Linked DNA regions of Arabidopsis thaliana. The protein of the gene in region 2 interacts with the protein of the main gene of each other region in a pairwise test. Each region holds a gene or a part of one and is shown on either strand. Other genes may lie near its edges.

Region 1 (18,110 bases), on a different chromosome or scaffold from region 2:
ATTGGAGTATATTTTTTGTTGACTTTTTTGCCTAAAGATTAGGTTTCGGTTGACTATCCTCTGAACTAATAAATACTTGGTTAACTCAGGCTGAGCTATGTTCTGCTGCTCTAATGGTTGGTCATGATTCATGAGATTTTACTTCCCTTGGGTAATTACAATTATGTTTCAAGGAACATGTGGATCCTTGATACCCTGTGTGAAAAGTTGCGTCAAGGTCCAAGTTTGCGAGTGGCTCGCTATTTCATAGTTGTGAGATTAATTGATGCATGAAATGATTTACGTGTTTAAAGGGTGCGAAGAGATCAAACCGGAAGTGTTTGACACAAGACACAAACTTTGGAAGTGGCGCCACAATCCCACTATATTTATCTCTGTCTCAATAGAGAGAAAGATCTTATATTCTAGGAGTTATGGACAAGTGAAGTGATAGTTTATGATCCAAGAGATGGTACATGCATGTGAGCACTATTGCAATAAAGATGTTCGATGTGTGTGTGATAGATTATGTGATTTATGTATATAACTCTAGCTCCTCTTGGGTTTATGTGGTATGACTTTAAGGAGAAGGATTGGAGACTTGTTAATGGTTTGAAGCTTGACAAGTATTTGTGCTATCAAAATCTCAATGGCTGAATTAATATATATAAACCATAATATGGACAAAAAAAATTGAAATAGATAAATATTAAACATATGAATATTGTTCAATTAAAAAGACAATCAGGAAAAAGGTATTTAAGAATACCTCACATGTAAGGTCCTTTTTTTTTCTTCTTTCTTTTTTTTGGTGTTTGGTTTGGAAATGTGTGCTCGAGCACTCGACCTCGTGAACACAAGCACTGACCCATGCTTAAATGTTACCAACGAGCCACAAGCGACGAGAACGTTAACAATCAAATATGATTATTATTATCATGTTCCTATTGTAATAATAGTAACCTCTCCAAGCCGTTTCAAATAAGGATTTGCGTCATTGCGTGAGTAAAGAAGATAGAAACAGATATAAAAACAAATTTAGTTTAATGATCAATCAAAACTTAAAATCTAATCTAGGACCATTTTATAATTACAAACAAAAAATGAAATATATATTGTTCAAAAAAAAAGGTATTTAAGAATACCTTACATCTAAGATCTTATTTTGTTTTTCTTCTTGTTTTGTGTTCGGATTGGATTGTGTGTGCTCGATCACTCGAGCTCGTAGACACAAGCATTGACCCATGCTTAAATGCTACCCACGAGCCACTAGCGATAAGCACGTTATCCATCAAATACAATTGTAATAAATAATTATCCCACCATTCCCTAACTTTGAGGTAGTTAGCGTGAATTACACCAAACTTTTCAATTGTAAAAGTCAAACTCAACAAAAACACACAGAAGAAGAGAGCTTGCAAATATATTTATATTATGAAAACTTACATTTAGTGTTCGTTCATCCCCAAGTCGGGTGTGTAACTAAAAGCTGATGATGACAGAGAGATTCACCAAGCCGAGACAAAGACACACAGTAACAGAGAGTTTTTAGAGACTCTTACAGACACATCATAACAAGCGATAGAGACAGAGAGACCCAGGAAAAAATATTACATGGTTGAGTGAATGTAAGAACACAAAAGATAAAAATAAGAGAAGATGAAATCTACTACCAAGACTTTAGAACCATATGGATACATCTTGCTGCTTCTGCTGCATTCCATCCATCGTTCCTACTACTCCTGGCATCGACATATCATCTCTGTAATCGAATGACGCCATGTCGAACGGTGTGGAATCAAACACAAGCTGGAACCTGTTGCCGCTACTGTTATTGTTGTTGTTATGTGCAGCTTCAAAGTTGTTGTGATCTGCAGTGTCGAACTTAAACACATTGTTGTTGTTGTTGTTCCCTTGAAAAAACGTTTGATTGTTGCTGCTGTTGTTGTTGTTTGCTCTGTTTGGGATGTTCAAGTCTTCAAAGAAACTTCCTTCCACCATGTTTCCTGGGAACTGGAGATGTTCTTGATGGTTATGGACTGTGGGTTGAAGCAGTGACACGCTTTGATTTTCCATGACCATAGAGGTTTGGTTGCTCTGGACATTTCTGTCGTACATGGACATGAGCTCTGAGATCATCTTCTGTCCATCTTCAGGAACTATACCCGTTAAGTCAATTGGTTGGGCTACTGAGTTCACTGGCCTTGGCTGAGGAAATCCAACTACAGGCTTAACTTCATTGACATGAAACCTGGATGGTGCTGCTCCATACGGTAAGCGACTGTCTCGATGTGGACATGCCAGTTGATGGTTGTCTCTCGAATTCCTATCCAGAAATCCCCGGCTGATTTCGCTGTGCGCACACCCAAGATTCTCGCAGGTGAAAACGGTTCTGTCCATAATAGTGTTCAGATCTCTGTTTGGCTTTCTCTTTCTCATGAATTCCGAGTTTCCTGCTGGGACTTCTTCTTTGACAGGAAAGTCATGCATTTTAGCAACCATCCCAAAGTTTGAAGAATTCATAACTTTTTCTGGCTTGAGCTCTTCCACTTCATAGTGAGACTCCTTCTCGAAACCTTCAACATCGTATTGACTGCAATCATTCATCAGAAGCGAGCAACTTCCACCAGACAGAGAAAGAGGTGGACATGACTCGGGATAAAGCTCTCTAGCCAAGGACTCTTCTTGGTTAATAATAGCAAGCCAGGTAGCACTCTCTTTAGCAGTCATCTTATCCTGCAAACATTTAGATTGCCTCACGAGCTTACGGATCTTAGCAATATCAGGAAACATATGCTTGATAACCGCAGTCAAAACGCCGACTTTCCACGCCTTCTTCAAATCATGAGGCTTCTTGTAAGGTGCAGGACCTTGATCTTTAGGCAAACCAAGTTGAGGCCACCAATCCTCTTTCCCATTAGGCCACCACGGAGGAGGAACTCCTTTCTCCAAAGGAAAACGTCTCTGAGGAGGATCACAGTGTTGCATCAACGCAGACAAAAGCGATCCAAGAGTCGTGTCTTGAAGCTCTTGCAAGGTATGAGGAGTCGGTCCAATCGGGTTATTACCTTCATGAATCCCCGGGATATTATTCTCCGCTTGATACTTGGTAATAGCCGCAGGACCATTACGATCAAACCTAACCTTATCTTTCCACCACTCCCTTAAATTATCAGAAGCACCAGTCACAGGCTTCCCATTCTCCGGAATAATCCCATAAACAAAGCCTTGAGCTTTACAAACTTCCATCATCTTCAACATATACTTCAAGATCCCATCTTGAGCTCTAGACATTTTCTTCCTCCTAGCTTGCTCTTGAGACTGCCTCTGTTTAGCAGCATCAACACCTTCTTTACCCTTATCCTGCTCCTTGAGACGTTTAAGCCGCATTTTGTCTCTCCACATCCTCCTCTCCAATTCATCAACATCAATCTCATCATCAGTATAGTCATCTTCAACAATGGAATCAGGCTCAGCTTGTGGAACAGGACAGAAATCAACTTCACCAAGTGATCCAGAAGAGAAGAAATCCATGTTTCCACACATTCCCATCTCATTAAACATCATTGTAACCTGTAACAAATCAAATACACAAACAAAACTAATCAGTACAATTATATTTCTTCTGAATCAAACAACTTACTAAAAAAAATCATCAAACCCTAAATTATAAAAAAGGGGCTTTTCGAATTCAATCAAAGTTTTAAGTAATAAACACATAATCAGATCGTATTTTAATCACTCCTAAACTAAATAATCAATCGGATAATAAAAATTATCAACAGATTCAATTTCCAAAAAAAGGATGAGATCTTCAACATAGGAACCAAATATAGAAAGGATCATATATGAATAAGAAAGAGAAAACATTTTCAAATAGATCAACGATTTATAAACAATAAACAAAAATTCAACCAAAAAAAAAACTAAAAGTAGCATAAACTCATGAAATTAGATCGTGTAAACACTAGTAAACTAAAGTAAAACCATCGATCTAGTAAAACCCTATGAATAAACCTATCATCATCTTCAGTATCAATAATAACCCTAAAAAATCAATAGAAGAAGAAGCGTATAGTACCTGGAGAAATGAACAGCAGAAGAAGAAGGAGAATAAAAATGATGAAGAAAAAGGTCTCTGCCTTTTCTATGGTGATGGGAAAAAGAAGGAGAAGATAATAAACCCTAGTTTCATCAAAAGAACTTCGACAAAAGTTAGAGATACGAGATGAGGAAGAGGAAGAAGAAGAAGAAGAAGAAAAGTCGACGAAAGATCACGTGGCTAGAAAGCGACTTTTGTTTATTTGCGTTTCTTTGTGGAGTCTCTCTGTAGATCAGGAAGATAGATCATAGTATATATACTCTATTTATATATATATATATATGTTTAGATATATAATATACATATATATCATTTTAATTTCATTTCTTACACATAAAATTTAAGACATCATTTATTATTATTATTACACAATTAATATGTAATTAACAAAGCGCCTTTTGGCAATACTCACTGCTCTTCGTTTGTTTTTTTATTTTATTTTATTTTACGCGGTATGTAATTAATTGTTTCTTACGCGGAGTTTTATTTATTGTTGTGCTACGTTTTTTATTTTCATTTTTGGAATAATGGGTTTTAGAAAAGAAAAGATCCATTATCCATACCTCTCATTAAAATCGGTAGAGAGAAAAAAAAACGCACACTTTTTTTACAATTATATTTTATTACAAGTAGAAAAAGTTTCGTCATCATCGACAACTATTATCGATTATGACAAATCTGTTCTCAAGAGGTGAGAAAACTATTTTAATAAAAGTTTTCATGCTTCTTGATTGTTTTGTTTATTAATTATTATCACGTTCTTCGACACATTTGTTGAAACTAACCAAACATAGTGTTAAATTTTATGTCTTCTTTTTTCCACTTTTCAAGTGTTTGTCTTAAAATATCCCAAAAAACACTGAAAGAAAAGAATTGACTAATAGAGAGATGCAAATATGTTTTACAACATGAGCCTGAAGACAAAAGTTGGACTATGAAGATCTATGAAGTTGGATTTGTTGGGATCTAAGTGTTGGAGATATATATTTTCTCTGGGTTCTTCACTTACTCCACTTTGTGTTGCATACTCTAATGCCATCTCGTAGTCCACCTGAAACCACCACATATATTCAGCAAGAATGACTTAAAAGTGATGATGCAGTAGAAACTTATGCTGAGAAGTGATTGATGCAAAAAAAAAAAAGACCTGTTCTACATGCTCAGCTAGCTTTTCTTTCAATGTTTCTTTTGTGATTATCTGTTTAGATACTTTATCAAGCATAACTATGTCTTCCTCTCCGTAACGTTTTCTCTTTGTTTTATGTTCTTCTGTCATTTGTTTTAGAACCTCGTACACTGCCCCCGTTGCATCGGGGATGTATCTGCAAGCATTTCCAGTTTTGGTTATCTTTTTTTTCAGGGTTGGAGCATAAAATGGGAAGGACACTGATTATCTTTTTTACCTGCTCAAACTGCGTTTTCGCTCTTGTTGTTCACGGGCTTGCAGTCTCTTGACTATTTTGGATTTCAGTTGGATGCAGCATTGTTGAATTGCAGACTGATGGAAATAAAGGCGGAAAGTTAGATTTAATAAGATGTGGGATAACGTCAGAAAAATCTTTTCTTAATGTTACCTTGACTGCAGTAGCTATCTCACTGATGTCATCTCCTATGTACTCTTTCCCTGTCCCTTTGAATGGAATTTTTGTACTCACTATGCTCACAAATACTCCTATTTTATCTTGCGTCTGGTTGATCTTATAACTATTCCAACTGCAATGTTTTGAAAATACTCATTAATAAAAAAAAGTTGGAGAAAGATACCAACTATAACGATATACAGAGAGGAATACAGCAAGCTAAAGAAAGAGTCTCACTTGATTCTTTTTAAGGCCGTCCTGGTGACAACATCAGCTCCTTGTTCAAAAAGGAGAGGAATACGGTTTGCAAAACGGAATATGTTGATCCCCTGCCATTTCAGTTCCAGCAAATTCCCAAAATAACCCATTAGATAGTAGAAGAGTGAGATCGACAAAAGATAAAGAGCAATGGTTATGGTGGATTCATGCTCATACTTAGAGCAACCTTAAATCTATGAGAACTTGATGACACATGAATAAACAAAAGGAGGATATGACTTGCCTGTTTCACGTCTCTTCCACCCAAACTAACACCAGCTTCAACAATGAAAGGATGACCTTCGAAGACCTGAGCACTAAACATAGTTTCCAGGAAGAAGTCAACACTTGATGAAACAAAGCTCAGATTAACGACAAAGTAGGTAAAGCTTGACATATGAGATTACTATAAGAAAAATAAACTCCATATCTAAATCAGATGAATTCGTAGAAAAGAGGGTTGCAGTGACAACCTGCCGGAATACGTTGCCACCATATCTGGATGTAGCTCCTTAATAATCCCTAGACGAAGATTGTATTCTCCTGCTGGGCTAAGACACTACAGAAGAAAACCGCAGTATGAATAGAGCTAATTTTCGAAACAATACAGATGCTCTAACTTGAAATTTTATAAGACCCTCGAGAGAGATATAGAGATAATAAAGCAGTTCCCAGTGAACCTTAGAGAGAAAGTAGCTGCTTACATCACCACTAGGGTCGTCGAATTTAGCTTGGCGGAATAACTGATGTATGCGTACCATTTGCTGAGATGTCACAGATTTGACAGCCATGCTAGGCCCGAAATCAGGTCCCATTTCCCCTGAAAGAAAGAAAACAAGAATACTTATGACTGAATTTGACTAAAGAGATAGCACAGGCTTAGTAAATATAAAAGGCATGGATGATTTTCTCAGAATAATAACCAGCAAAATGAAGCAGAAAATTGCCATTCAGAATCAGCAAACATTTTTAGTGAATATAATAATCCGTCTAATCCATCAGGACATGTGATACAGAATTTCTTAATTGGATATCAGATCATTTCCATTGGCCAAGTAAAAGTACTGCCAAATGTGATGTGAGGGGGAATATTAAACAACTTCAAACTTATGTAACAAATGAGATTGATGTCATATTACCAATTAATCGTGCTGCAAGGGTTTTGTTAATATTCACAAATTCATTTTGAAGAAACTGCAGAAGGGTCTTTTTGGAAGTGTCTGTAATAAGGCGCTTGATAAGCAGCAAGTCAACTGACGATGGATGGTGCTTTGTCTCGATAGGAATAGGGGGCATCACATCCGTTCTTCGAGTAAACTTAATAGTGACATTTTTCCTACATGAAAAGAAGATTTAAAAACCCGATAATGCTGCACATAAAGAGCTATGTGACAGAGCAGCAAAAAAACAGAAAGATAGTGATCTTACTCTGGTGTCTCTGATATAAATCTAAACAGAAACTGCGCATAAGGAGTAATGACAGCCATTTGGCGCATATAGTGCAAGATCTTTGACTGGATACAACAAAAAAATAAAATGTGTTAAACAAGTTTGCGTGCATATATGTCTAATGAACACTTAAGAAATAATATACAGCAGAAGGACGAGCTAGACCACGTACTCTGTATGTTGTCCAGTTTCCTTCGATAACCACCTGTATTTCAGCCCCATGCCATTTCTCTTTGTTGCCCTTCTTTTCGTGCAGATGAATATGAGGAATGTTCCTGAAAATTTTAACCATTTGAAGACAATTATACGGCGTGGAAAATCCGAAGGATTCATAGCTATTATGTCAAATGCCCAAACATAAAAAATTAGATTGATATCCGCTTTCGAGAAGCTGCTCATGTATTCAGATGGGTACCTGTGAATATCAATATCCAGTCTGCAGAAAGTAACATAGTTTTGGCTCTTCATAGATGACGAGATCTCTATGGGGAGACCTGTACTCATTTTGGACCAGATTAAGGCCTGCACGCCAGGAAAATTTAGAGAAACTAGAAGGGTTAAACAAGTTCTCTGGAAAAAATATCGATATGAAGGGAAACATAGATATGTTATGAATATGAATACAAAAACAAAAGACCAGCTGCAAATCAAAGCCAATGATTAAATCCTCCTAAAGCAACATATACAACATATATTCCTTTTGTAAACCTAGGAACGAGCCATCTAAAGGCTGCAAATTTGAAACTGATAAACCACTTCAGCATTTCATGCAGTTTTACAGGCTAATCTCAGATATCAAACTTGATAAGAATAGATTATTACCATCTTTGCACCCAGACCAAACTTTCCACGTGTTTGCTTCAGTCCATACTTCGTCCCGGATAAAACTGTAAGAAGAACAATTTGTAAACTTAGCCTCAATATAAAGGTTTATTATAAGGTTGATATGCCAGGCTAAATCAATAGAGGAAGTGAGGGTGGTCATTAGCTATTTTACCTCTCCCAAACATATTTGGAATGTCATCATGTGGCATCCCCTTACCATTATCCTACATTATGATCAACTCAATTCATAACTCAAAAAATGTTTAAGAAAACAATTAGGATCTCCATATATTTATACATATACTTAAAATTGCATATATAAATTTCTGTTGAATCAAACAAATATTATTCAAACTCTCACCTTACATGTCACTTTGTAATATGAGGCTTCCCCACGGGCCTTTAAAACCTTCGATACTCCAGGCTCTTTGTTTTTCTTTCCCGATGCCAAATTTTTAGCTTGTATCTCACTGGCTCGAGCTTCCTTTGCTAACCTTTTCTACATAACAGGAAACAACAACAAATATTAGAATCACAAGGATTACAGAACAGTGAAACTTCTTGAACACTAAAAAGTAGCTTCTTAAAAGCACAAGGATTTGATCAGAACGAAGAAGAGAGTAATAAACACAGAATTCACGCACCCCACGGGCCTTTTCTGTCTCATAATCATCATACAGCTGTGTGTCAACACGTTCCCGATCGATAAGACCAATCATGGAGTTGAACTTAGATTTTACAATCTCTTCGCTTCAAAAATATAAACAAGACAGTCAGTGAACTAAACCCCTACACAGTTTCTCCTACCAGAACTAACATCTCGAATCAGCACGAAGTAAGGAACGTACATAGTTACTTCAACCTCAGGGAGCTCTGAAATAGACTCTGCAGAATCAAGAGCATTTTCAACAAGCTCTCTAACTGTAGTATAAAGCGACTTCCCTGGCTGATGAGATCCACAATTCAAAATTCGTGTGATACAGAATTGAAATTACAAAGATGCATCGTTTGAATTGAAACCAACAAATTGGGGACTCACATTATCAAATCCAGCAATGTTCTTGTTCTCCGCGAAAAACTCAGCTGGAGATTCTGCAAATTCACGAATTCAAAAAAGAGAGTCAATTGAGCTTAATCTCAATTGAAATCAATTGTGCAGCAAATGATACATAGAGCATTACTTTGCTTGAGCTTGCTCTCGTTGCTGTCCTTAGAGTTCTTCGAGCTTCCCTTCTTCGTTTCAACTAAATCATCACCCGCCATTGAAACAACAACAAATTGTGAAAATTTGAGTCAGATCAAACCAAATGTCTCAGAGTACAACACTACAAGTTTCCAATCAAAATTCAAAGCAGGATCTAGGGTTTTATGGAGGGAAGTTAAGGAAACTCGATCAAAGAGATTGGTTGCTGGGGTTATATCGGTCATTTTACTAAATTATAGCGTTTGCGATTGGACTTAGTGTTTCATGAGTTGTGTGGTGTGACTATAAGCAGCAACAGTTGTAAGTTAACTTGATTCTGTTTGGATCCAATAGAGAAAACCATTACACGAGAAAGGAAAAAAATGGTGAATCCTTCTTCACCTGGAATTGCCATACTCGGAGCTGGGATCTTCGTCAAAACTCAATACATTCCGAGATTAGCTGAGATCTCCGATCTCGTCGACCTGAAAGCGATTTGGAGCCGTACTGAGGTGACATTTCGATCAATGCGCTTGATTTTTGGGAGATGTTTATGCCAAATGTCTAAAAAGATGAAAACTTTGGCGAATTGTGATTTTTGTTATGGTTGAAGGAATCTGCAAAAGGAGCTGTGGAGATAGCAAGAAAGCATTTTCCTGAAGTGAAGTGCAAATGGGGAGATGAGGGTCTCAATGAGATCATTCAAGACAGTTCAATAGTTGGTGTTGCTGTAGTTGTAGCTGCAGAAACCATGGTATGTTTGATCTTAGACTTGAGAGATGCGTATGAATCTAGTTGGGACAGTGCATAGGATATTTCTTACTCAAAGTCTTGTGCTTTAGGTTGAATTGTCACTGAAGATGCTCAAGGCAGGAAAGCACGTCCTTCAAGGTGACTTGTCCACTTCATTTCTGCTCTGCTTTTATGATCGTCTTCTTTAGCAATGTTATTGCTTCTTGGAAATGTGTCCCAACTTAAAAAGCTAAAGATATTTCTTTTTTCTTGATATGTATATTGCTGTCCTGGATCGGTCTGCAGAGAAGCCAGCTGCTGCTTGTAAGTTGATCACTGCTCTTGTTTAAACCAACTTGGCATGTTGTTTAAGTTCCACTACTCTAGCCCAGAGTCAATTTTTCCTGTTGAGCATGACCCATTTAACGTGAAACTATAGTCTTCCTGGTTATGCCACTCTAAAGTGCAGATGAAATGCTTTATTCCTATTGTTTTACAAGTTTTTTTGTTGCAGCAATCAGTGAGATAGAAACTGCAATGTCAAGCTATAGAAATATTTCTGCTGATTCCCCATGCCGTCCAATTTGGGCTGTGGCTGAAAATTATCGTTTTGAGCCAGCTTTTGTTGAGGTAACTGTTACTTATTGTCTTCTTGGCACTACCTATTTGAGCAAGTAATATTGTCCTTGAAAAATTGAAGTATTTCATGGTTGCTTTCGGCAGTTGAAGAAACTGATAGCAGAAATTGGAGATATGATGAACGTCCAGCTTATTATTGAGGGATCAATGAACAGTTCTAATCCTTATTTCTCAAGCTCCTGGAGGCGAAATTTGAGTGTATGTAATACTTTCTATTCCGTCACATTCTTATTTTGTCAGACTCTGTTGCATTGCATCTTCCTAACACGCTGCTTACTTAGACTGTAACATAAGAATTACACTGACATATATATCAATCACCCATATATATCTTGAAGAAACTGTGTTATCTGTTAATATTTTACAGAAAGTTCTTCATATGCAGGGTGGTTTCATCTTGGATATGGGTGTACATTACATTGCAGGATTAAGAATGGTACCGTGTAACTTCATTAGCTGATAAGCTTATCTTGCTGTGGATCCCAAGTATGATATATTGGTTTTTCATGAACAGCTTGTTGGATGTGAGGTAACATCAGTCTCAGCCACCACTACCCATGTGGATAAGACTTTACCTGGACCAGACAATATAACATCAAACTTGTAAGTGTAAATACATCAATCTTGTTTCTTAGCACACTAATTTCACATGAACATACTAATCCAGGATGTTTGCTCTATAGTCAGCTCGAGAACGGATGCTCTGGGGTTTTTGTTATGGTTGTGTCTTCAAGGTCTCCAAAGGCATGTAGTAAGACTTAGATTTTCTTCTTTCCACACCGGTTTAGCCTAATAACCATAGTTTTTCTTACATAACTTCTATTTGTTAGATACTATGGAGAATCGTAGGACTAAAGGGCACTGTTCAACTAGAGCGTGGAGTGGAAGGTGGCCGACATGGTTACATGGTTTGTATACTTTAACATGTGACCATCTGAATGATCCAGATTTTGCTTGAAACTACTCAACTCAAATGGCTGTGATCTTATGAAATTTTCAGGCCACGATTTACGGGGAAGGAGGGACATCAAGGACCATCTTTTACCCATTCAGCGGAGTGACTGAAGAGTTAAAAGCGTTCTTCAATGATATTTCAGAAACTTCAAAGGTAATCCTAGAATCTTAGCCTTGGAATGCAGGAACTCATAACATGAGTATTCTATTACCTAAACTCTCCTATTATGGATCCGTTTCAGGAGCAAGAGCCTCGTCTATCATATGTGGAAGGTGCTCGTGACGTTGCAGTTCTTGAAGCAATGCTCGAGTCTGGTGCGAAAAATGGAGCCGTAGTCCCTGTCAACAAATTCTAGCTTTGAACCTTTATTAAGTACGATTAGACTCCAACATACCGCTAAAGCTTTTGCTGGAATAAAAATTGTTACCGTTCAACATGATAATACAAACTCTATAATATTTCTTTTGTAACCAATCTTTTATTATCCCAAGACTTATGCATTCTGGGGGATTGGTTCTAGAGCTTAAAAATAATTACAATAAGAATTTCAAACAGACTAAAAAGCCTATAACCCATCATCTAAGTTAAGGCATTAAAAAGCACATGTATAATTAGAAACAAAAACAGAAGAAACACACTCCATGGATGGGTTTGAGATGGATTCAGCTCAAAGCATGTGCTCAAATCCTCCACCTTGATGTGTTGGGACGCGACCAACTCCAACATTGTGCACCAACTGTTGCAGCCACCTTCTTGCAGTTGGATCCTCCTGAAAAGAAGTACACAACAAGTTTTCAACTGAATCATCTCTTACACAAACAATATCAAAAACCAAGTCAAAAGATGACGATGACTTACGCGAAGACAATTGCTAAAGGATCCATCTCGTAGCGAGTCAGGGAGACAGCTTGCGAGTGCAGCACAAGCCCTAATTAACACAAAAGCTTAAGCATAAGAAAGCCAAACACATGATAAACTACGAAAAGTCATTTCTGAGTAAGTTTGTTTTGGGCTAAATCAACCTTGGGTTGTCTGATAAACGGAGATAGCAACGAATGATATGCTTCAAAAGGCGCGGAGAAGGCTGCTCCACAAGTGACTGAACCATATTTCCCAACACTCGACCAACTGCAAAAAACCGCTCTGCTGTTGTGCAGATGTAATCCATCCCCACATCATCCAACAGTATCTTTTGAACAATAAATGTTGCCACCTGTCATTAACATTATGTTAATACGTAAGCAAGGGGTTGCACACTTTCAATGAGTTTCAATGTAGACACCATTTCATTGGCGCAGAACTGGTTCTATGGAAACTTTACAATCCCAGCCTAGGATATATAAAAAAACTCAGAATGAGTAATTTTTGGGCTTAAGAGAAACAGTTAAATGAAGAAACGAGACTCATTTTCTTTTAGGACTTTAAAAGTTAGGATTTGGATTATCATTTTAGGTAATACATTCATACACTTAAGAGAAACAGTAACAAGAAAAACTGAGACTCATTTCTTAATATGATTTTGAAAGTTAGGATTTGGCTTATCATTATTAACGATTTCAAATGCCAAAAAAGTTAGAAATAAAATCACTAACAAATGTGCATCTAAAACGAATTTTAAGACTGTCAAGAAACTTAAAGAAGGTACCATATGAACATGAAAATGTAACGGTAAATTAAAAGACTTACTGTTTTTGACAGCTCACTCCCCATTTCCATGGTACGGAGGCACAGAGGAATAATTTCAGTTGAAAGAAGGAAGCTAATGACCTCTGTATCATCAACCTGGAAAACAAAGTGAAATAAGGATCCGATGAACCTTTCTTATTTCATACACTAACCACCAAAAAAGAATATAAATTCTCTACTTTAGAAACCAAGACCACTAACACAATTTTTAGTCCTTTGCTTTCAGCAAAAAGTAGGTGGGGAACATCAAAACCAAAGAGAAACAAGGAACAGAAAAGGGACGGGATGGTGTACCTTCACAAGTGCACCGATGACACCTAGGCTAGTAAGCCGCAAGTATTCGAAAGGTCTGGACTTACTCGTTGTATTAAGGAAGGGATAAAGGTACAACGGGATATGAGCTGTGCACAAGAACGAAGAAAAGGCATAACAACAAATTCATCAGTTGTATTGCTTCACGAAATAAACTGAAACCATGCAATAAATATACAATAAACAGATAACCCCACTAACTCGTATCAAATAGACAAGAGCATATAATAGACATCCCCAATGGTACATACTATATAACATTAAGCTTAGCCTGATGAAAAGAAAAAGAACATTACCCTTGAGAAATAACATTCTCGTGTCAGAATGAGATGCTACGCACTGCAGAGTAAAACAACAAGACAGAAAATCATTAGAAATCTGATGGATTCAGCAAAATATATGAACATGAAATAAAACATCCTAAATAAGAAGACGAAATCTCCATGTGAACCTGAAGAAGAGCGAGCGAGTTGCAAACACGGTTGGACTGAGCAGGAGTCAGATTTGGAGGTGCAAGAACAGAGTAGATTGATACAATCTCCTGCAAGCACAAATAGACGAAACAGTCAAATCAAAACCACGCTACTAACACCGAATAAATAGCATTTAGATATAAAAGAATCATTTGCATTCAACGCTCATCAATTTAACAAGAAAGGAAAAGCATTTAAGTAACTGGAGATAACCGAAACAGATGCATTTAAGTCATTACCTGTAACAAGGCAGCAATGGTACCAAAAGAGTTCCACAACAAAGGCGCCAGATCCTGAAACAATTCTCTTTTCTACAAAAGAAACCACTAATTCAGATACTGAACCAAGTTCCCAAATTCACATACTCAACACAATTTGAGAAAAGTTCTCAACTTTAGCAAATTTCAAGAGTAACCCTAGCGCTCGTTGACGAATCAGACAAAAAAAACGACTGCCCAGATGGAAGAAATGAAGAAGAAAACATGAGAGATTATAAGAAAACCTTGGAAAGCTCGAGAAGAGCATTTTCTCTGAGTTCAGGATTGCTGAGATCGAGTACCAACTGTTCAGCAGAGGCCAAATTGCGATCTTTGTTGGCCGGAGCTCCGGTAGGATTTTGTGCGGAGGTGCTAGGACCACCGAAAGGTGTGCCCATGGAGAGAGAAGAAGGTAGATTCGCCATTCTCCAGAGTTGGTTTTCTCGTTTGTTTGTTAATGGGACTTTTCAAGGATTCGGTTTCTCCCTTCTTCTCTCTTCTTTATAGATGGCGATTACGCCCCTTTCTTCCTTATTTATTTATTTTCATGTCAAAACAAAAAAAAATGTTTAGTTTCAAAATAGTTTTAATCATCACTATTTACGACTTAAACCGTTTTTTATTTGTTATTCATAAATTATAATATGTAGTGATGCATATGGTAAACAAATAAACAAAAAGTAGTGTTAATTGGTTTGTGTACAAAATTAAGTTATAAGTTAAACAACATGAATGTGAACGGAAATCAATTTATCAAAGCAATGGCACATAAGCAAGAAATAGTTCTCTAATAATATCATTAAGTTTTTTAATCATTGATGTAAAATATCACATATGAGTCCAACATAAGAAAATATTTTTAAAAAAAATTGTTGACTGAACGAATTTAGACGGACCAAAACGTAAGAACTCGAACACTAAATGAGATTTAAATTTTCAAGATAGGCGTAAATGTAACCGATGCTTCTGAAACAAATAATAAAAGAGTTAGAAAGCTTTATAAGAAAAGTACAAGCGGAAAATCTGCGGTTTTCCAAGTGTGACGATATCTTTAAAAAAAATTCTATTAATTTTCAACTTTTTTTTATTCAGAATATATATTAAAAAACTAATAAAATAATGTTTTGAGTCAAATGTCACTATGTTTGTAGTTTAATTTCTGCATATTACGTAAATTTTAACCTTAAATCTACATATAAATTTTTGCAGCCATTTTGTGAAATAAATCATATAGTTGAGACTTATTTACAATGGCTGCCACTGAATTTTAATGTTTGTTTTTGATAATTAGAAAGAGAGTCGGCTATGGCCTATGGGCCAAACTGGCCAAGCATGGGATTGTAGTGGTTATGGCTCATAGTGGGAAGGTGTTTGAGTAACCATGTTTACATATTTTTTTAACTTGTAAACATACTATTACTGAACCATATATTATTTTGGGCTTGTGGTCTTCATTTTGTTAGGGCCATTTCTGCTTATAAACAATTTACTGAGTATAATTTCAATATTATTTCGCGGTCAAAAAAAAAAATTCAATATTATTTCTGTGTCAAGTTTACATTTTATGAATTGATTTCCAATAAAGCATAGCATAAGCAAAACAAAATACTTGGGACTTGAATGTTTCATTGCATTTTAATTTTTGGAATATCAGTGTCATAAAGCATAGTGTGTTTGCAGTAAGCCCACTGGAAAAAAAATCATATGTAAAGAGTGCTTTTACTAGGCCCAGCGGGAAAAAAATATTTTGACCCAAAAGTTAACAAAAATTAGGACTGTTTTTATGTGAGATTTCATTTGTTAATTGAGCATCCATTTTGTAAGTGCTCAATTAACAAATGATATTTTGACCCAAGTTAACAAATTAAAATGTGTATGTCACACCAATCAACAACATAATACTATAATTCTTATCTACCAAACTAAAACCACAAACATAGATTTTAGCATAAAATACACAATACAAAATAAAACTAAACGTAGGCATATTATAAAACCGATTCAGAGCATAAATTTAGGTTTATTCTATGTTGAAAATAGTATTTTGATTTTTTTTATTCTATGGGTTTATGAAAAGATTTATCCAAAATAGAAAGAAATAAACAAGAGGAGTGGTTGAATAAATTGTACTATTTTGGAGGGTTCGTTTTCAAAATTAGAAAGAATACAGTTATAGATACGAAAAATATCTGATCCTAATCATCACTTCAAAATATCTTTCTTTCCCTTTCCACTTTTTCGCTTACACTTTCCCCAACTCATCATCACTCTAAAATATCTCCCACCACATACCACTTAACCCGACCCGACCCGACCGGAAAACCCGACCCGATCCATCCCAATGTCAGGAGCTACCACCGCTTCCTCCGGAGACCACAACAACCTCCGTCTCCCAACTCCGACGCTTGACGCCGAATCGCAAACTCTGCTGCAATCGATTTCTGCTGAAGGGGGTTACGCTTATGCTCGCATGGCGGTGTTAGCGGTGGCCGGTGACCAAAGCGCGGCGGAGGCGGCGCGTGATATGGCTTGGGAGCAACTTCACTCTGGTCCGTGGCACTCGGTTCTCCCCGTTTGGCGCGACGCTTACTCAATGGCTTGTCTCCACGTAGCTAAAATCCATTTCGCCGCCGGCGAGTTTGGTGAGGCGCTTGGTGCGCTTGATATGGGTCTTATCATGGGAGGTATGCTTCTCCGCAAGGATCTTCATGATTCTGTTTTGTTGGTCTCCTCTGAAGCTCGTAAGATGACGAAGAGTCTTGAAGAAGCTTCTGGAGATTTCAAAGGTGAGAGATTGGTCCCGGAAGTTCCCGTCGACGTCAATGAGGTGAGACATGTTTTGGCTAATCTACAATTACTTGTAAGACTCATATCTTGAAACCTCGATAAGCTCTAAATGAAAATGGAGATGTGCTGTGAAGAGAATCAGACTTTGAATTGTTTCGTGTTGATTTAGTTTTGTGTTGTTGTTGTTGTTGAAACTTGCAGGTCCTTAAGATTCTACCTTGCAGGTCTTTAACTTGTAAAAGAGTAGAGAAGAGGTCTGGTTTATCTTTGGAGGGGTTTCTGCGTGATTATTATCTGCCAGGTACACCAGTTGTTATAACCAATTCTATGGCTCATTGGCCAGCCAGGACCAAGTGGAATCACTTGGACTACCTCAATGCTGTTGCTGGTAACCGCACCGTTCCCGTGGAGGTGACTGCCATCATTTCTTCACTTAGTTCTTAGTTAGCTTGTGAGTGTTGATTAGTAGTCATTAGACGATGGTTTTAGCTTTAGTTGGCTCCTACGCTGCTCTAAGTTGCCATGTCCATATTTTTTTAGGGTTCTTCTTAAGAATGTTGAATCTCATAGAGTCGTGTCAACTGTATGATAAAAGGGTTTAGGGTCTAGGTTTGAAATAAGATTTGTATCTAGGTTAGATTATCACATAAAATCAGAATAAGAACATGACAATTTCACGAGCGTAAGATTTCTCATTTTTGCTTCATAGAGATATGAGTCTTATTACCACTATTTAGTCTGAGCTAATAAGAAGATGGGTTGGATCAGAATAATTTTTTCCGTAGCTGAAAGCTGGTGAAGTTTAAAATGCTATTCAGGTGGGGAAAAACTATTTGTGTTCTGATTGGAAGCAAGAGCTTGTGACATTTTCTAAGTTCCTTGAACGGATGCGG
Region 2 (14,856 bases):
GAAAATTGTCAGGACAAAGTAAGATTCTTTTTTCTAAAAGAGAGAGAAGCCTTTCACACACACAAAAGAGCAATGTAATATGTGGAAGTAACGAACCATTACCAAAATCTGAATTGTAGTTTAGGACTGTAGTTGGAAATTGGTTTCATGCATAGCTCTAAAAGCTGACTTGTAGTAAGTTTTTTCAGTTCTCATGTTAAACATTTTTAATAAAGAAAGATACGACTTCTGCAAAATACCACTATTTATGCAGAAACCAGATGCCAAGTCCTCTACTCAATCATTTTGGCAACCTAAGATAAGCTTAAACCATACTTCGGTTTTATGAGAAGAAACATTCATCAGCGATTAATATAAATTCTGATCTATCGAATATACAATCCAACCTAACAAATCAAAGAAGACATTGTTGCTTCTGCAAAATCCAATTGCATACGCAAAACTCCAGATGATCTACCACATAACCAAACTTCGATCTGATTAAGCAAATTAAGTAGAAATTACGCGAAATTACGCAAAATTCAGCTATAAATTAGAGCTCGAAACACAAAGAATCAGTCAATCAAATAGCTGGTGGAAGAAAAAAAGAGCGCGGTAAAATTACAATTGAAGAGCTTCCAGAAACTTGTCGTGTTCTCCTTCAGTCCAACTCTCTCTAGACTTGGTGATTGTGTAAGCTTTCCTCACCTTCTTCTCCGGTGCTTCACCAGCTTCCGTCGTTGCAATCGTCGTCTCTGTAGCATCTGTAGAAGTTTCCGCCGGTATTACTTCGGCGACCACCGGATTGGTTGAGGTCATTATCGGTATTTTATTCAAGATAGAGATCGTCTAGAGAGAGAGAGACTGAAGAGAGAAGGGGTTAGAGAGAGAAATGACGACGATATCCACATGGCGGGCAAGAAGTTGGTGTATAATATGTGGAGACGCTTCGCTTGCAATTTCAGGCCATCCATTTTTCTCCTTTTTCTTATTTTATTTCTTAAAATTTAAAATCAAAGTACCAAATCGGTTTATATATACCGGTGTATTTTAACACTACAAATCCGGTCCGGTGTGGAAGTTGTAAAAATAGCCTTTCAAATCCAATCCATTTGATTTACATGAAATTAGAAAACCAGAAAAACTGAGCCACAATGATGATACGATGATGATCCTAACCGTTGGCGAGGAATGAGAGACTTTGTTATTGTCTTTGGCTCCTCCTCCGCCATAACCAATCCTCACCATCACCACCGTCGCTGTTACGCCACAGCACCAGAGTCCAACCGGAAAACTAAATCCAATTCTTCTTTCACCAAGCTACTTCCGTCACTACCGCAGCAACATTCACCTTCTCCTGCTTCAGTCTCCGCGACTCATTCTCTCTCTAGCCACTTCTCCAATGTCGTAAGATGGATTCCAGATGGCTCGCTTGAGTATTACGCTGATTTTGCCTCGAAGCTAGCTGAGGATGGTCGAATTGAGGACGTCGCTCTCATCGCCGAGACTTTGGCTGCAGAGTCCGGAGCTAATGTGGCTCGTTTCGCTTCCATGGTTGATTATGATCTCTTATCGAAAGGGATTTCGTCGAATCTTCGACAAGGTAAGATTGAGAGCGTCGTTTACACTTTGAAGAGAATTGAGAAGGTAGGAATTGCTCCATTGGACCTTGTCGATGATTCGTCTGTGAAATTAATGAGGAAACAGTTTCGAGCAATGGCTAACTCTGTGCAAGTGGAGAAAGCTATTGATCTAATGGAGATACTTGCCGGTAAATACTATATCAATTCTTGCTGTTACACTGTGACTATGAACTCTTGAATTGATTACCTGCTTCTTATTTCAGGTCTCGGATTCAAAATCAAAGAGTTGGTGGATCCTTTTGATGTTGTAAAGAGTTGTGTTGAAATTTCCAATCCTCAATTAGCTATTAGGTAAGCCTTGTTTCCCACATAACGATTCAGGTTAATGGTTTTCAAATTCAGAAAGTTATTACAAGAATGCTGGATGTAGTGTGTTCTGCTAACGATTTGATGATTATTGAATGCAGATACGCATGTCTTTTGCCGCATACAGAGTTATTGCTTTGTAGAATTATTCATGGTTTCGGAAAGAAAGGAGATATGGTCTCTGTTATGACAGCATATGAAGCCTGCAAACAGATTTTGGATACTCCTAACATGTATATATGCCGAACGATGATAGATGTTTGTGGCCTGTGTGGTGATTACGTTAAATCGAGGTACATATATGAGGTAATTCCCTAATTATACTGTATTTTTGCGTAAGTATCCTTTACGCTCGATTTTGTCTGCCATCCTGCATTTGAGATTTGTAGTTAATTCATAATTTTGTGGCAGGATCTTCTCAAAGAAAACATTAAGCCAAATATTTATGTTATTAACAGTCTAATGAATGTTAATTCCCATGATCTTGGGTACACACTAAAAGTATACAAGAATATGCAGGTATGTTCTTTCTTCTGTCTCTTGAATACAAGTATTTGAATTGTCTAGAGAGTATTTTAGATTTAGGAGTGGGTGTGGACTGACCTTGAAACTCTACATGTCATGGGCAGATACTTGATGTTACAGCTGACATGACATCCTACAACATACTACTGAAAACATGTTGCCTGGCTGGACGGGTTGATCTTGCCCAGGATATATACAAAGAAGCAAAACGAATGGAATCTTCCGGATTGTTGAAGTTGGACGCCTTTACATATTGTACTATTATAAAGGTACAATATCAGTATTTTTGGAAAACTAAGTTTATCATTAGTTTTTGCTTTTATATCCCTAAGTCTCTGAATAATGTCTTAAGATCAGGTTTTTGCAGATGCAAAGATGTGGAAATGGGCACTCAAAGTCAAAGATGATATGAAATCTGTTGGTGTAACCCCAAATACTCATACATGGTCATCATTAATCAGTGCATGTGCCAATGCAGGTTTAGTAGAGCAGGCAAATCACCTATTTGAAGAAATGCTTGCATCTGGCTGCGAGCCTAATTCTCAATGTTTCAACATCCTACTGCATGCTTGCGTTGAAGCTTGCCAGTATGACAGAGCTTTTCGTCTTTTTCAATCTTGGAAAGGAAGCTCCGTTAATGAATCCTTATATGCAGATGACATAGTTAGTAAAGGTCGCACTTCCAGCCCAAATATATTGAAAAATAATGGTCCTGGGTCTTTGGTGAATCGCAATTCTAATTCACCTTATATCCAAGCTTCAAAGAGATTTTGCTTCAAGCCAACAACTGCTACATATAATATACTCTTGAAAGCCTGTGGTACTGATTACTATCGAGGAAAAGAATTGATGGATGAGATGAAGAGCCTAGGTCTTTCACCTAATCAAATAACATGGTCGACTTTGATTGATATGTGTGGAGGTTCAGGCGATGTAGAAGGTGCTGTACGGGTGAGTTAACTTTTCTCTTGATTTTTTTTTTAAAATTAATCATTCAAATCTCTTTCCTAAAACAGAGATATAGCATTAAGGTGATCATACTTCTCCAGCTTTTGTTTATAAGCTTCCAGATACATTCATAATATCAATGATGGGATTTGCAGTAATATGATAAGTTCCCTGATAGAAATTCTTTTCCAGCACAGATTTTGAGAACTATGCATTCGGCTGGAACCAGACCTGATGTTGTTGCATACACAACAGCAATCAAGGTATTAATCTCTCTCTTAGTGGTGCCAACATTTCTGCTTTGTTGTTAATTATTGTGCAACTCAAAGGTGTGAAGATCCAGACCTTATTATCTTGCAGATTTGTGCGGAAAATAAATGTTTGAAGTTGGCATTTTCTTTGTTTGAGGAGATGAGGAGATATCAGATTAAGCCAAACTGGGTAATTCTCCTCCTCGAATTTGCTTTGTTTCTTTTTGTCCCTTTCAGCTACTAACGCCACCTTCGAGAGAATCAGCAGACTGAAATTATCAGTGATGTGTATAAAATTATGCATATAAAGTCCAAAGCTATTATTAGAGTAGTCTAAATTGACGGAATGCATTTCCTAAAGATGGAAGCCGTTTCAAAATTTATTTCAGCATTTCTCAGTCTAGAAAATTGTTTCTCAGGTGACATATAATACACTTCTTAAAGCACGAAGCAAATATGGTTCTTTACTTGAAGTGCGGCAATGCTTGGCTATATATCAGGACATGCGAAATGCAGGGTATGAACAATTTTTACTTTTATGGTCTACTTTCATTTCTCTTCCTGATGGTTCCGCAACAAGTAAGGAGGCATTCCTTTTTACTCACAAACAAAGCCACAACACTGCAGGTACAAACCTAACGATCACTTTCTCAAGGAACTTATTGAGGAGTGGTGCGAAGGAGTCATACAGGAAAACGGTCAGAGCCAAGATAAAATAAGCGACCAAGAAGGAGATAACGCAGGGAGACCTGTAAGCCTACTCATTGAAAAAGTAGCTACACACATGCAAGAGAGAACAGCTGGAAACCTTGCAATTGACCTTCAAGGACTTACCAAGGTAAGTTACTGGAGACAATGAAATATTCATATGTGCTTGTAGTCCTATCAATTTAACTCTTTCAGCGATATGACCATGTCAAACTTTTGCATCCATTTACAGATTGAGGCTCGACTTGTTGTTCTAGCAGTTTTGCGAATGATCAAGGAAGACTATATGCGAGGTAAGATTCAAGACACCAATACATTCTCTCTCTCATGTAGTAACTTTTTGACTCGGTAAACATTTCAAACGGGAACAGCATACATGCAGCTTAAGTTAGGACAAAAAAATCAAATGTTGTTGAATTTTATGCCAGTAGAGACTAAAAAACACTTGTAACTAACTGAATCTCCTTTGCAGGTGACGTTGTAATAGATGATGTGTTGATTATCATAGGAACCGATGAAGCAAATACCGTTTCAGGAAAGCAAGAGATTACTGTGCAAGAAGCGCTAGTGAAGCTTCTACGAGATGAATTGTCTCTTGTGGTTCTTCCTGCTGGACAAAGAAATATCATACAGGATGCACACTGTGTAGATGATGCAGACCAAGAGAACACTAAGTCATTTGTTAGTATATCCTCAACGAGGAGACCTGCGATTCTGGAGAGGTTGATGGTTACAAAGGCGTCTCTGTATCAGTGGTTGCAGCGCAGAAAGTAGCTGCCTCCGACTGTTACATTACTAATCAGTCATCATTGTATTTTATGCTAATTCAAACCATATGCAGAAAAGAATGGGGAAAGATTGCATATCATCTCAATGCCCATCATATTGTATACAATCTTCTAAATAAACAAAAGAGTTGTCTTCTAAATAATCATCTGACAGCTATCTTTCCAGTTCTGTGTAGATTCAACCATAAATTTAAAACCAAATTTCGATCTTTGCAATAATAATTCACATGCTAAGAAACAGGCAATTGCATTATCAAAAATTCGAAATTTGTAGAGTACACTTGTTGGTCTATCTAATTGATCAGGAAGAAACCTGATTATCAGAGCCAATCCTGCTGCTGCAGTTTCAGGGGCAAGTAAACTTCCGATAAATACTGGAAACCAAAAGAGCTCAACGCCTGAATCTCAGCCTTTTGCTTCGTTTTCACCATCAGGTTAAGTTCCTCGACCCACCCGGGATTTTTCTTCACGAAATCCTCCTCTAGCATATCCTTCCCGGTCTTAATATCCTGCTCAGTCATCGGCAACCTACACTGTTCAGGTATCTTATACTTGTCCAAATCACTCGGCCTAATTCCAAGCCACTTAATATCAGGCGTAGTCAAGTTTGCACTATCATATGACATGTTCTTCGACCCACATCCATACACCGACAAGATCTTCAATCCGTAAGGATCACTATCCACCAAGGCAAGTACCGGAAGCTTAAGCTCCATTTTCATTTTCCTCAAGAAGAGCCTTGTAGCTACATCAGGCTGGCCTTTTGCAGTCACGATGATACAAGGGAACCGGTTATAGAATCTGTCTTCAGCTAACCTCATATAAGCTGCATCTTTTTCAACTAAGAGTATGAACATAGCATCACTCTGCATATCTCCAACCCGGTCAATGTTTGGTGGAATGGCTTTCCCACCCATTCCCATCTTTGTGCAATCTATCATGTCTCCATTGTCACTGAATATAAGCCTTCCCACCACCACACCTTTCTCTGCTGCAATGACATTGAGACTTGACCTTGTGCAACCGAGCATACATGAGACATCATCCAACACAGCATCACTCTGTGTCTGGTCCTGAAAATTCAGTAAGGTTGCGAATTGGTTCAAAAACCTTCCAAAATCGAAACTACAAAGAATCAATGCTAGAACTTTCGATTCAGGTTTACAAGAGCTGGATCTAAAACAGTGACTATCATTCTCTATTTAATGGGAAGAAAGTATCATCTCAAGTAAAATTGAAAGCAAGAAGAACCTACCTGGAAAAGCTTAACGTCGGTGTAGAAGAGATCACGCTTAGTAACGTGAATGTTCCTGAGGCAGAGTTGGTGGATAAGGGCGAGGATACGAGTGGTGATGGTGGTTTTCCTGACAGAAGAAACGGAGGCAAATGGACGGAGGGTAGATTTGTCTTTTAGCACTATACGGTCGAGCTCAGGAACATACAGCTGATTCGAGGCGGCGCGTGAAGGAACACTGAAGGAGAAGCCATCACCGGCGAGAATAGAACGGGCGATCTGGACGATGACTGTCTCTATCTCTGTCTGCACGGAGGAGAGTGAGAGATCTGCGACTTCACGACAGGAAGATGATAGAGAGAGGTCAGCTAGGGTTAGAGGTTTCGATGAAGAGGAGGAGGCACCGCCGGCTCCGGCGGCGGCTTTGATAGAAGAGGAAATATACGATTTGAGAAGCTCCGTGATAACGTCGTCTGATTCCAGAATGCTTTTGAAAGGAAGTTCCTCCGCCTCGTCATCTTTTGATCGCTTTCGCTTCTTCTTATCCGCCATCTGTAGATAGCCACGACGACGGAGACGCGGCGGCCCAGAGAGTTCTGGTACTAACAATGGCGGGAAAATTTACCCTTTAGGTCAACGTATCTCGTGAATGTTATTTCTAGGGTAAACTAAAGGGGTAGACTTAGAAACGCATTTATTAAGTTAATTAATTGTGCTTTTAACGAGATGTCGATATGTCCGAGTGGTTAAGGAGATAGACTTGAAATCTATTGGGCTTCGCCCGCGCAGGTTCGAACCCTGCTGTCGACGATAGTTTTTTGAATATTTTTTATTGGGTTAAAATCTTTTTGAATGGCCCATATGGTAAGCCCAATATTAACTACATCTATAAAATCTTTAAACGCTAGTCTCTTCCGCCAAAATCTATTCAACGGTCCAGATGAGTTTACCACTTGACGTTTTCCTTACCCACCATTACACGTGTCAGTTCAAAAAGATCTTAATAATCTGCCACTAGCCTCCTGAACGACTGTTTTTGATATACCATCCACGTCACTAATCCTCGCCAATATATGATGTGGAAATATCCGCTCTGACGTGGAACTTCTCGAACGTTCGGGACCTCTAGTTTTGTCCATGTCAGATATTACGATTTTTTAATTTCCTTTTTTTTTTTGTTGGCCCGAGACAAATCTTTCTAATATCTATCTATCTCCGGAAAAATAAAAATCGGTGGCTTATGGTCGTCTCCGATTTCCACTCTCTGGGAGACAGAAAAACCTCATAATCTCAAAAATTGTTCACTGTGTTTATCTTCCTTCTAAAGTTCTAAGAAGCTTCGATTCTTAATTCTGTTTATCGATTTGAATTCCTTGTTTCTATTTCCCAACCGTTAGCTGATTGTGCTAGATCCATTTTTCTGGTGATTGATGCAACTTCTGGAGCTCGATTCTTCGTTCTAGTATTTGATTATTGTAAGATCAGTACTCTCTTGGAATTTAGATGCTTTTGTATGGTTGGATTTTTATTTGATGTAATTTGTCTAGATTCGATTTTTTGATGATTCTTCAAAAAGTTACTTGATTAGTTGGTTTTTTGAGAATTCGTCGTTCTTCAACTCTTTTTTCTGTTAATCTGAGATATTGTACGATTCTAACTCCTCTAGCTATTGCAATAATCGAAATTAGGGTTTATGGCTGTGTTTTGATATTTTGATCATTTGAATTCAGCGAAGCAGAGTTGGTGTGATGAATGCTAATGAGGAGGGGGAGGGTTCACGTTACCCAATCACTGATCGAAAGACCGGAGAGACGAAATTCGATAGGGTTGAGAGTCGGACAGAGAAGCATAGTGAAGAAGAGAAAACTAATGGAATTACTATGGATGTGAGAAATGGGAGTTCAGGTGGACTGCAAATTCCATTGTCGCAACAAACAGCGGCAACTGTCTGTTGGGAAAGGTTTCTTCATGTGAGAACCATTAGAGTTCTGCTTGTCGAAAATGACGACTGCACTCGTTATATCGTTACTGCACTTCTTCGCAATTGTAGCTATGAAGGTCAGTTTTGAAGCCTATGGCCCAACTTTAATCTATAGCGCATATATGTACCCGTTTCGGTTCTGTTTGTTGATTGATTATTATTAACTCTGTCATGGCAGTTGTTGAGGCGTCAAATGGGATACAAGCTTGGAAGGTGTTAGAAGATCTAAACAATCATATTGATATTGTGCTAACAGAGGTGATCATGCCTTACTTATCTGGTATCGGTCTCTTGTGCAAGATTTTGAACCACAAATCTCGTCGGAACATCCCTGTCATCAGTGAGTTCTTTTTCCTTGGTCGTTTTACATTGAGCTCTTTCTTTTGAAGTTACACGATTTGTTGAGTCTTCTCTAGCGTATGTTGGAAAGTAGATGCTTTTAACTACATTCCCCTGTGAGATTTGTGTTGCAGTGATGTCATCTCATGACTCAATGGGGCTGGTCTTTAAGTGCTTATCGAAAGGAGCTGTTGACTTTCTTGTTAAGCCAATAAGAAAAAATGAGCTTAAGATCCTTTGGCAGCATGTTTGGAGAAGATGCCAAAGTGTATGTCCTTGCTCATATATGATTAATCTGAAAACCTGTTGGTACAACTGGTGATAAGTAGTAAACTAGAAATTCATGGTCTAATTGTGGATTGGTATCTTCTTTTTTTTTTTCCACATGATTGGTATCTTACTTTTTGGTTTCTCATGGTTTTCCTTGTTTCTTGTTCAGTCTAGTGGTAGTGGAAGTGAGAGCGGAACGCATCAAACTCAAAAGTCTGTGAAATCGAAAAGTATTAAAAAATCTGATCAAGATTCAGGAAGCAGTGATGAGAATGAAAATGGGAGCATTGGCCTGAATGCTAGTGATGGAAGTAGTGATGGGAGTGGCGCTCAGGTAAGACGAATGTGCAATACCGATAATCTAAATATACACCCGAGAAGCTATCCTTTTAAAAATTTCTTAACCACAAATGATAGGGGTCGGATGATCGAACTTCGCATGTGCACTCAGATGCTTATAAATGGTGGAAGCGCTTAACTAACCAATTGTAGAACTCAATGATGTTTAACTTAGATCTATTCAGTGATAAACTGGGTGAAAATTTCTAGTTCATTTTGAAGTTTTATTTTGCACATGGTTTATCTCCAAAACCTAGGTTGATTTTGACATACCTTTTTTTGTTCAGAGCTCTTGGACGAAAAAAGCTGTGGATGTTGATGACAGTCCACGAGCGGTATCTCTATGGGACCGAGTTGATAGCACTTGCGCCCAAGTGGTACATTCTAACCCTGAGTTTCCAAGTAATCAGTTGGTTGCACCACCTGCTGAGAAGGAGACTCAAGAACATGATGATAAATTTGGTAAAGAAAGGAAACTGTGATCTCTTAGTTTCTTCCATACTCTTCTTTATACTGAAACTCAAAAACATGATATTGAATGTTTTTCATCTATTTTGCAGAAGATGTCACAATGGGTAGAGACTTGGAGATTAGCATTCGTAGAAACTGTGATCTGGCCCTGGAGCCAAAAGATGAACCCCTATCTAAAACTACTGGCATTATGAGACAGGATAATTCGTTTGAAAAGAGCTCTAGTAAATGGAAAATGAAAGTTGGAAAAGGACCATTGGACCTCAGTAGCGAAAGTCCTTCAAGTAAACAAATGCATGAAGATGGAGGCTCGAGTTTCAAAGCTATGTCTAGCCACCTTCAAGATAACAGAGAACCTGAGGCGCCTAACACTCACTTGAAAACTTTAGATACAAATGAAGCTTCTGTTAAAATTTCTGAAGAGCTAATGCACGTGGAACATAGTTCAAAGAGGCATAGAGGAACTAAAGATGATGGGACACTAGTTAGGGATGATCGGAATGTGCTGAGGCGTTCAGAGGGCTCAGCTTTCTCAAGGTACTTTCTTAGAATCAAACCTCTGTTTTTTCTTCCGTACACAACCTTTTGAATGCCTTATTGAAGAACTATGAGATCGACTGTTGGACTTGTGCAGGTATAATCCAGCCTCAAATGCCAATAAGATTTCTGGTGGGAACTTAGGAAGCACTTCGCTTCAGGATAATAATAGTCAGGATCTTATAAAAAAGACTGAAGCAGCATATGATTGTCACTCGAACATGAATGAGAGTCTCCCCCATAATCATCGCTCACATGTCGGTAGCAATAACTTTGATATGAGTTCCACGACTGAGAACAACGCTTTCACAAAACCAGGAGCTCCAAAAGTAAGCTCAGCAGGATCTTCATCAGTGAAGCATTCATCGTTTCAGCCTTTACCCTGTGATCATCATAATAATCATGCCTCCTATAACCTTGTCCATGTCGCTGAGAGGAAGAAGCTACCGCCACAATGTGGATCCTCAAATGTGTACAACGAAACGATTGAAGGTAACAACAACACAGTGAATTACAGTGTGAATGGAAGTGTATCAGGTAGTGGTCATGGAAGTAATGGGCCATATGGAAGCAGTAACGGTATGAATGCTGGAGGAATGAATATGGGAAGTGATAATGGTGCTGGCAAAAATGGAAATGGCGATGGTAGTGGAAGCGGAAGTGGAAGTGGTAGCGGAAACTTGGCGGATGAAAATAAGATCTCTCAAAGGGAAGCTGCTTTGACAAAGTTCCGTCAGAAGAGAAAAGAGAGGTGCTTCCGAAAGAAGGTAAATTCTCGGTCAAATCTATAACAAAGGAAAAAAAAAGTATTCTTGTAAATTGCGAAAGCAAATGCAAACCGCAAAAATGTTTTTTTTTTGGCTTTCTCAGGTACGATACCAAAGCCGGAAAAAACTAGCAGAACAACGCCCTCGAGTGCGAGGCCAATTTGTGCGTAAAACAGCCGCTGCAACTGATGATAACGACATAAAAAACATTGAGGATAGCTAACGGAAAATCAACAAAACCCACTATTTCTCAGCCCAAAAACATGAGTAATGTGCTCATATCTATCTTATATATATATATCTATCACATGTTTTAACATTTTCCCTTCAAAGTCTGATTCTTTGATAATACTACTACTATTCACGAAACAAAGACACTACGACATTTGATTGTTTGTTATTATTGTCGTTGTCTGGTCTGGTTTGTGAAATTAGGACGAAGGGTTTGGTTTCAGGATGTAGTGAAATCTTTGTAGATGTTGTAAACTTGTAAAACAATAACCCCTTCTCTGTATATTTTTTGGTATAAGCTTGCTTTTGGAGCCGTGCATAGTACGGTGTCGTATTGTATCAACATTATCTCTTTCAATATCATTTAGCTTATATCGTAAATATATATATTCTTAGAAAAAATCTGTCTTTGATAAACACCATTTTAAAATAGGAATAATCAATCTCTTATACCCAAATGATTGGAAACTATAATGGTGACCACGATTGTTGCTTATTAAAGTTCAATTTCAATATTGTTACAACTTACAACACAAGAAATTTATTCAATCAAATAATCTCTTTTTGTGTGTTGAAAAGAAATTTAAATTCCATGGGGGTAGTTAGTTGATACTACTTTGATAAAATATAATTTTTGTTTGTCTTTTTTTCTTTGACAATTAATTTTTATTTGTCAAAGTCAAACCCATTCACATTAATTTGTATCACAAAAATTAAATTGTTTTAAAAATATATTTTATATCAAAAGAGAAAAATCGAAAAATCCAGCGATTGGCTTGGCGTGCTTTTTTTACATTTCAAAGTTCTCTAAGCTTCTCTCTCTCTCTCTCGCTTTTGAGATCATCGAACACAATCGAAACGAAGAATCATTTGAAGAAGAAGAAGATCGTGAGAAGCTTAATGGGTTGGATCCCGTGTTCTGGGAAATCGAGTGGGAGGAATAAGACAAGGAGGAACGGTGACCACAAACTCGACAGGAAGTCTTCTGATTGTTCTGTGTCTACTTCAGGTAATTTCTCTTTATAGTCTTTGTCCAATTTTAATTCTGGGTTTAACCTTCTCTTACTAAATTATGGAAATTTTTATCCTTTGCTAAAACTTTCTGATTCCTGTGAGCCATCATCGTTTGCTAATGCTGATTAGGGTTTTTGACTTTCTGTTTAAAGATTGCTTTTTTCCTTCCATTTCACTAGCTTTTGACTACTCTGTAACACCTGTGTTAGTATTTTGACAGTGATGTGTTATTGCATGTCTCTTTCCTGTTAATTGTTGTTATTGCTCTCCAGTGGAAGTTGTGGATTAAACTCTTAAATGGGACTTGCTAGATCCTTAAGTATCTTGCTATATTCTTAGAACTTTAATTTGTTGATTATTGACCTTGAGACAATTATGCTCAGCTTGTGTTGATTAATTATTTCTTCTTATCGCTTTCTTTTCTTTCTTTTTTTGTAGAGAAATCTAGGGCCAAGTCGTCCTTGAGTGAATCCAAAAGTAAAGGCTCTGATCACATTGTGGCACAAACGTTTACATTCTCTGAGTTAGCTACTGCCACTAGAAACTTCAGAAAAGAATGTCTTATAGGAGAAGGAGGATTTGGTAGAGTTTACAAAGGATACTTGGCCAGCACTAGCCAGGTTCCTTCCCTTTTTTTTGCTTGGTTTTAACCTTTTGAATCTTCTTGGTAGTGAAAGCTCACTGTCATTATATCTTCATTTGTAGACAGCGGCTATCAAGCAACTTGATCATAATGGTTTACAAGGAAACAGGGAGTTCCTCGTCGAGGTTCTCATGTTGAGTCTTCTTCATCACCCGAATCTTGTTAACTTAATAGGATATTGTGCTGATGGAGATCAAAGGCTTCTAGTCTACGAGTACATGCCCCTAGGTTCACTTGAAGATCATTTGCACGGTATGCGCTTCTAAGATCACACATGCCTATGAGAAGTCTTTAAATTTCAATCGGGTGATGCTTTTTTTATTTCAGACATTTCACCTGGTAAGCAGCCACTTGACTGGAACACCAGAATGAAAATAGCTGCCGGTGCTGCAAAAGGTTTGGAGTATCTGCATGACAAAACCATGCCTCCAGTGATCTATCGAGATTTGAAATGCTCAAATATTTTGCTCGATGATGATTACTTTCCAAAGCTATCCGACTTCGGGTTGGCTAAACTTGGCCCAGTTGGGGACAAGTCTCATGTGTCCACTCGGGTTATGGGAACATACGGATACTGTGCTCCCGAGTATGCAATGACAGGCCAGCTAACACTCAAATCAGACGTTTACAGCTTCGGTGTTGTTCTGTTGGAGATTATAACTGGTCGGAAAGCAATAGACAGTTCAAGATCTACTGGAGAACAGAATCTAGTCGCATGGGTAAGAAAAAAAAACAAATTGGGAACAAACTTTGTTTTCTCTGCGGATTCTTCCTTCTAATTGTATTCTTTGAAATGCTCTCTATGTCAGGCAAGGCCTTTGTTTAAAGACAGGAGGAAATTCTCTCAGATGGCTGATCCAATGCTTCAAGGTCAATACCCTCCGCGAGGGTTATACCAAGCACTCGCTGTAGCAGCGATGTGCGTACAAGAGCAGCCAAATCTTAGACCTCTCATTGCTGACGTCGTCACTGCACTTTCTTACCTCGCCTCCCAAAAGTTTGATCCTCTGGCTCAGCCAGTCCAAGGATCCCTTTTCGCTCCAGGGACTCCACCTAGATCAAAGAGGGTCTGAAAATAATCCCGAGAACCGCAATGCTGTGTAAGTTATGTAGCTTAAACCCATTCCGTGCTGTCTTTCTTGGAGAGGAAAGGTGGATGATTTTCAGACTAAGTGTGAATGTATGGCTTAAGAGCTACTTGTAGATATGTGTAAGAAGAGATAGATTCATATAGAGGCCGGTTTATAATGTTGTTATAGGTGATGTTGTTTAATGTAATGTTTATTGAGCGCTTGCTTTCAAATGTGACAATTTCTCATTATTGTACTGAGGATGTCTGCTTCGATTCCAAAGTTATTGTATAAATATTAAAGTACTATAGTTTTCAAAACTTTAATGTGTGAGATTTTGATTGTATTGATATCATATTACAATGTCAAGGATTGATTATTGGTGAACAGTCAAATATAGATCAAGCTGTTGCTGCAAGTTAACTATACACCTTATCCTTATTGCATCATCTGGTTCTTAATGTGTGAGATTTTGATAGTATTACTATCATACAGTAATATATTAACAATGTCAATGGTTGATAATTTGATCAACACTAGAATACAGATTAAGCTGTTGCTGCTTAAAGTACAAATCTTATTGCATCATCAGGTTCAAGTACACATCTTATTTCTTCATATCCAAAGACCACCTGTTCGTACAAGGTGGTTTGGTCTCATACACTTTACTGCTTCGTGCTTGCTTACAGTTACTGCAAGAATATAACCGGAATTAGACTCACATTTAGTATAGACCATTAACCGAGAAAGTATTAAACAAGTCATTTGGCCATAGTAATAGGCTAGCTGATGATTAGTGCATGGTCTTTGCT

Evidence for each region.
Region 1: the proteins of RHL2 (region 2) and TOP6B interact in binary tests that used the Arabidopsis thaliana proteins (3 or more experiments, as listed by UniProt).

What each region holds. Positions count from the first base shown.
Region 1 is NC_003074.8:7,259,043-7,277,152, forward strand, and holds TOP6B (topoisomerase 6 subunit B), read right to left. Parts: upstream 9,709-18,110; 5' UTR 9,457-9,708; coding exon 9,375-9,456; intron 9,286-9,374; coding exon 9,233-9,285; intron 9,140-9,232; coding exon 9,042-9,139; intron 8,944-9,041; coding exon 8,838-8,943; intron 8,693-8,837; coding exon 8,555-8,692; intron 8,418-8,554; coding exon 8,366-8,417; intron 8,256-8,365; coding exon 8,191-8,255; intron 7,891-8,190; coding exon 7,784-7,890; intron 7,644-7,783; coding exon 7,541-7,643; intron 7,434-7,540; coding exon 7,348-7,433; intron 7,256-7,347; coding exon 7,059-7,255; intron 6,740-7,058; coding exon 6,624-6,739; intron 6,479-6,623; coding exon 6,393-6,478; intron 6,237-6,392; coding exon 6,164-6,236; intron 5,991-6,163; coding exon 5,899-5,990; intron 5,795-5,898; coding exon 5,656-5,794; intron 5,580-5,655; coding exon 5,485-5,579; intron 5,404-5,484; coding exon 5,229-5,403; intron 5,133-5,228; coding exon 4,983-5,132; 3' UTR 4,858-4,982; and 1 more. Other genes in the region: EIN3 (Ethylene insensitive 3 family protein), read right to left, coding at 1,660-3,546; AT3G20790 (NAD(P)-binding Rossmann-fold superfamily protein), read left to right, coding at 9,760-9,888, 9,990-10,130, 10,219-10,267, 10,415-10,432, 10,623-10,738, 10,832-10,945, 11,133-11,183, 11,262-11,350 and 4 more; AT3G20800 (Cell differentiation, Rcd1-like protein), read right to left, coding at 12,370-12,471, 12,561-12,630, 12,725-12,915, 13,389-13,484, 13,683-13,789, 13,997-14,039, 14,152-14,241, 14,413-14,484 and 1 more; JMJD5 (2-oxoglutarate (2OG) and Fe(II)-dependent oxygenase superfamily protein), read left to right, coding at 16,772-17,290, 17,419-17,628, 18,036-18,110. UniProt on the Arabidopsis thaliana protein: Component of the DNA topoisomerase VI involved in chromatin organization and progression of endoreduplication cycles. Relaxes both positive and negative superturns and exhibits a strong decatenase activity. The B subunit binds ATP.
Region 2 is NC_003076.8:634,736-649,591, reverse strand, and holds RHL2 (Spo11/DNA topoisomerase VI, subunit A protein), read right to left. Parts: upstream 7,039-14,856; 5' UTR 6,935-7,038; coding exon 6,404-6,934; intron 6,222-6,403; coding exon 5,469-6,221; 3' UTR 5,198-5,468; downstream 1-5,197. Other genes in the region: LCL1 (LHY/CCA1-like 1), read right to left, coding at 605-798; AT5G02830 (Tetratricopeptide repeat (TPR)-like superfamily protein), read left to right, coding at 1,171-1,750, 1,826-1,913, 2,030-2,234, 2,340-2,447, 2,558-2,722, 2,811-3,404, 3,599-3,664, 3,762-3,842 and 4 more; PRR7 (pseudo-response regulator 7), read left to right, coding at 8,131-8,440, 8,542-8,703, 8,837-8,970, 9,142-9,306, 9,599-9,773, 9,872-10,319, 10,417-11,086, 11,190-11,309; CDL1 (Protein kinase superfamily protein), read left to right, coding at 12,218-12,326, 12,770-12,951, 13,037-13,226, 13,302-13,693, 13,784-14,047; GSTL3 (Glutathione S-transferase family protein), read right to left, coding at 14,734-14,736. UniProt on the Arabidopsis thaliana protein: Component of the DNA topoisomerase VI involved in chromatin organization and progression of endoreduplication cycles. Relaxes both positive and negative superturns and exhibits a strong decatenase activity. Involved in cell-elongation processes.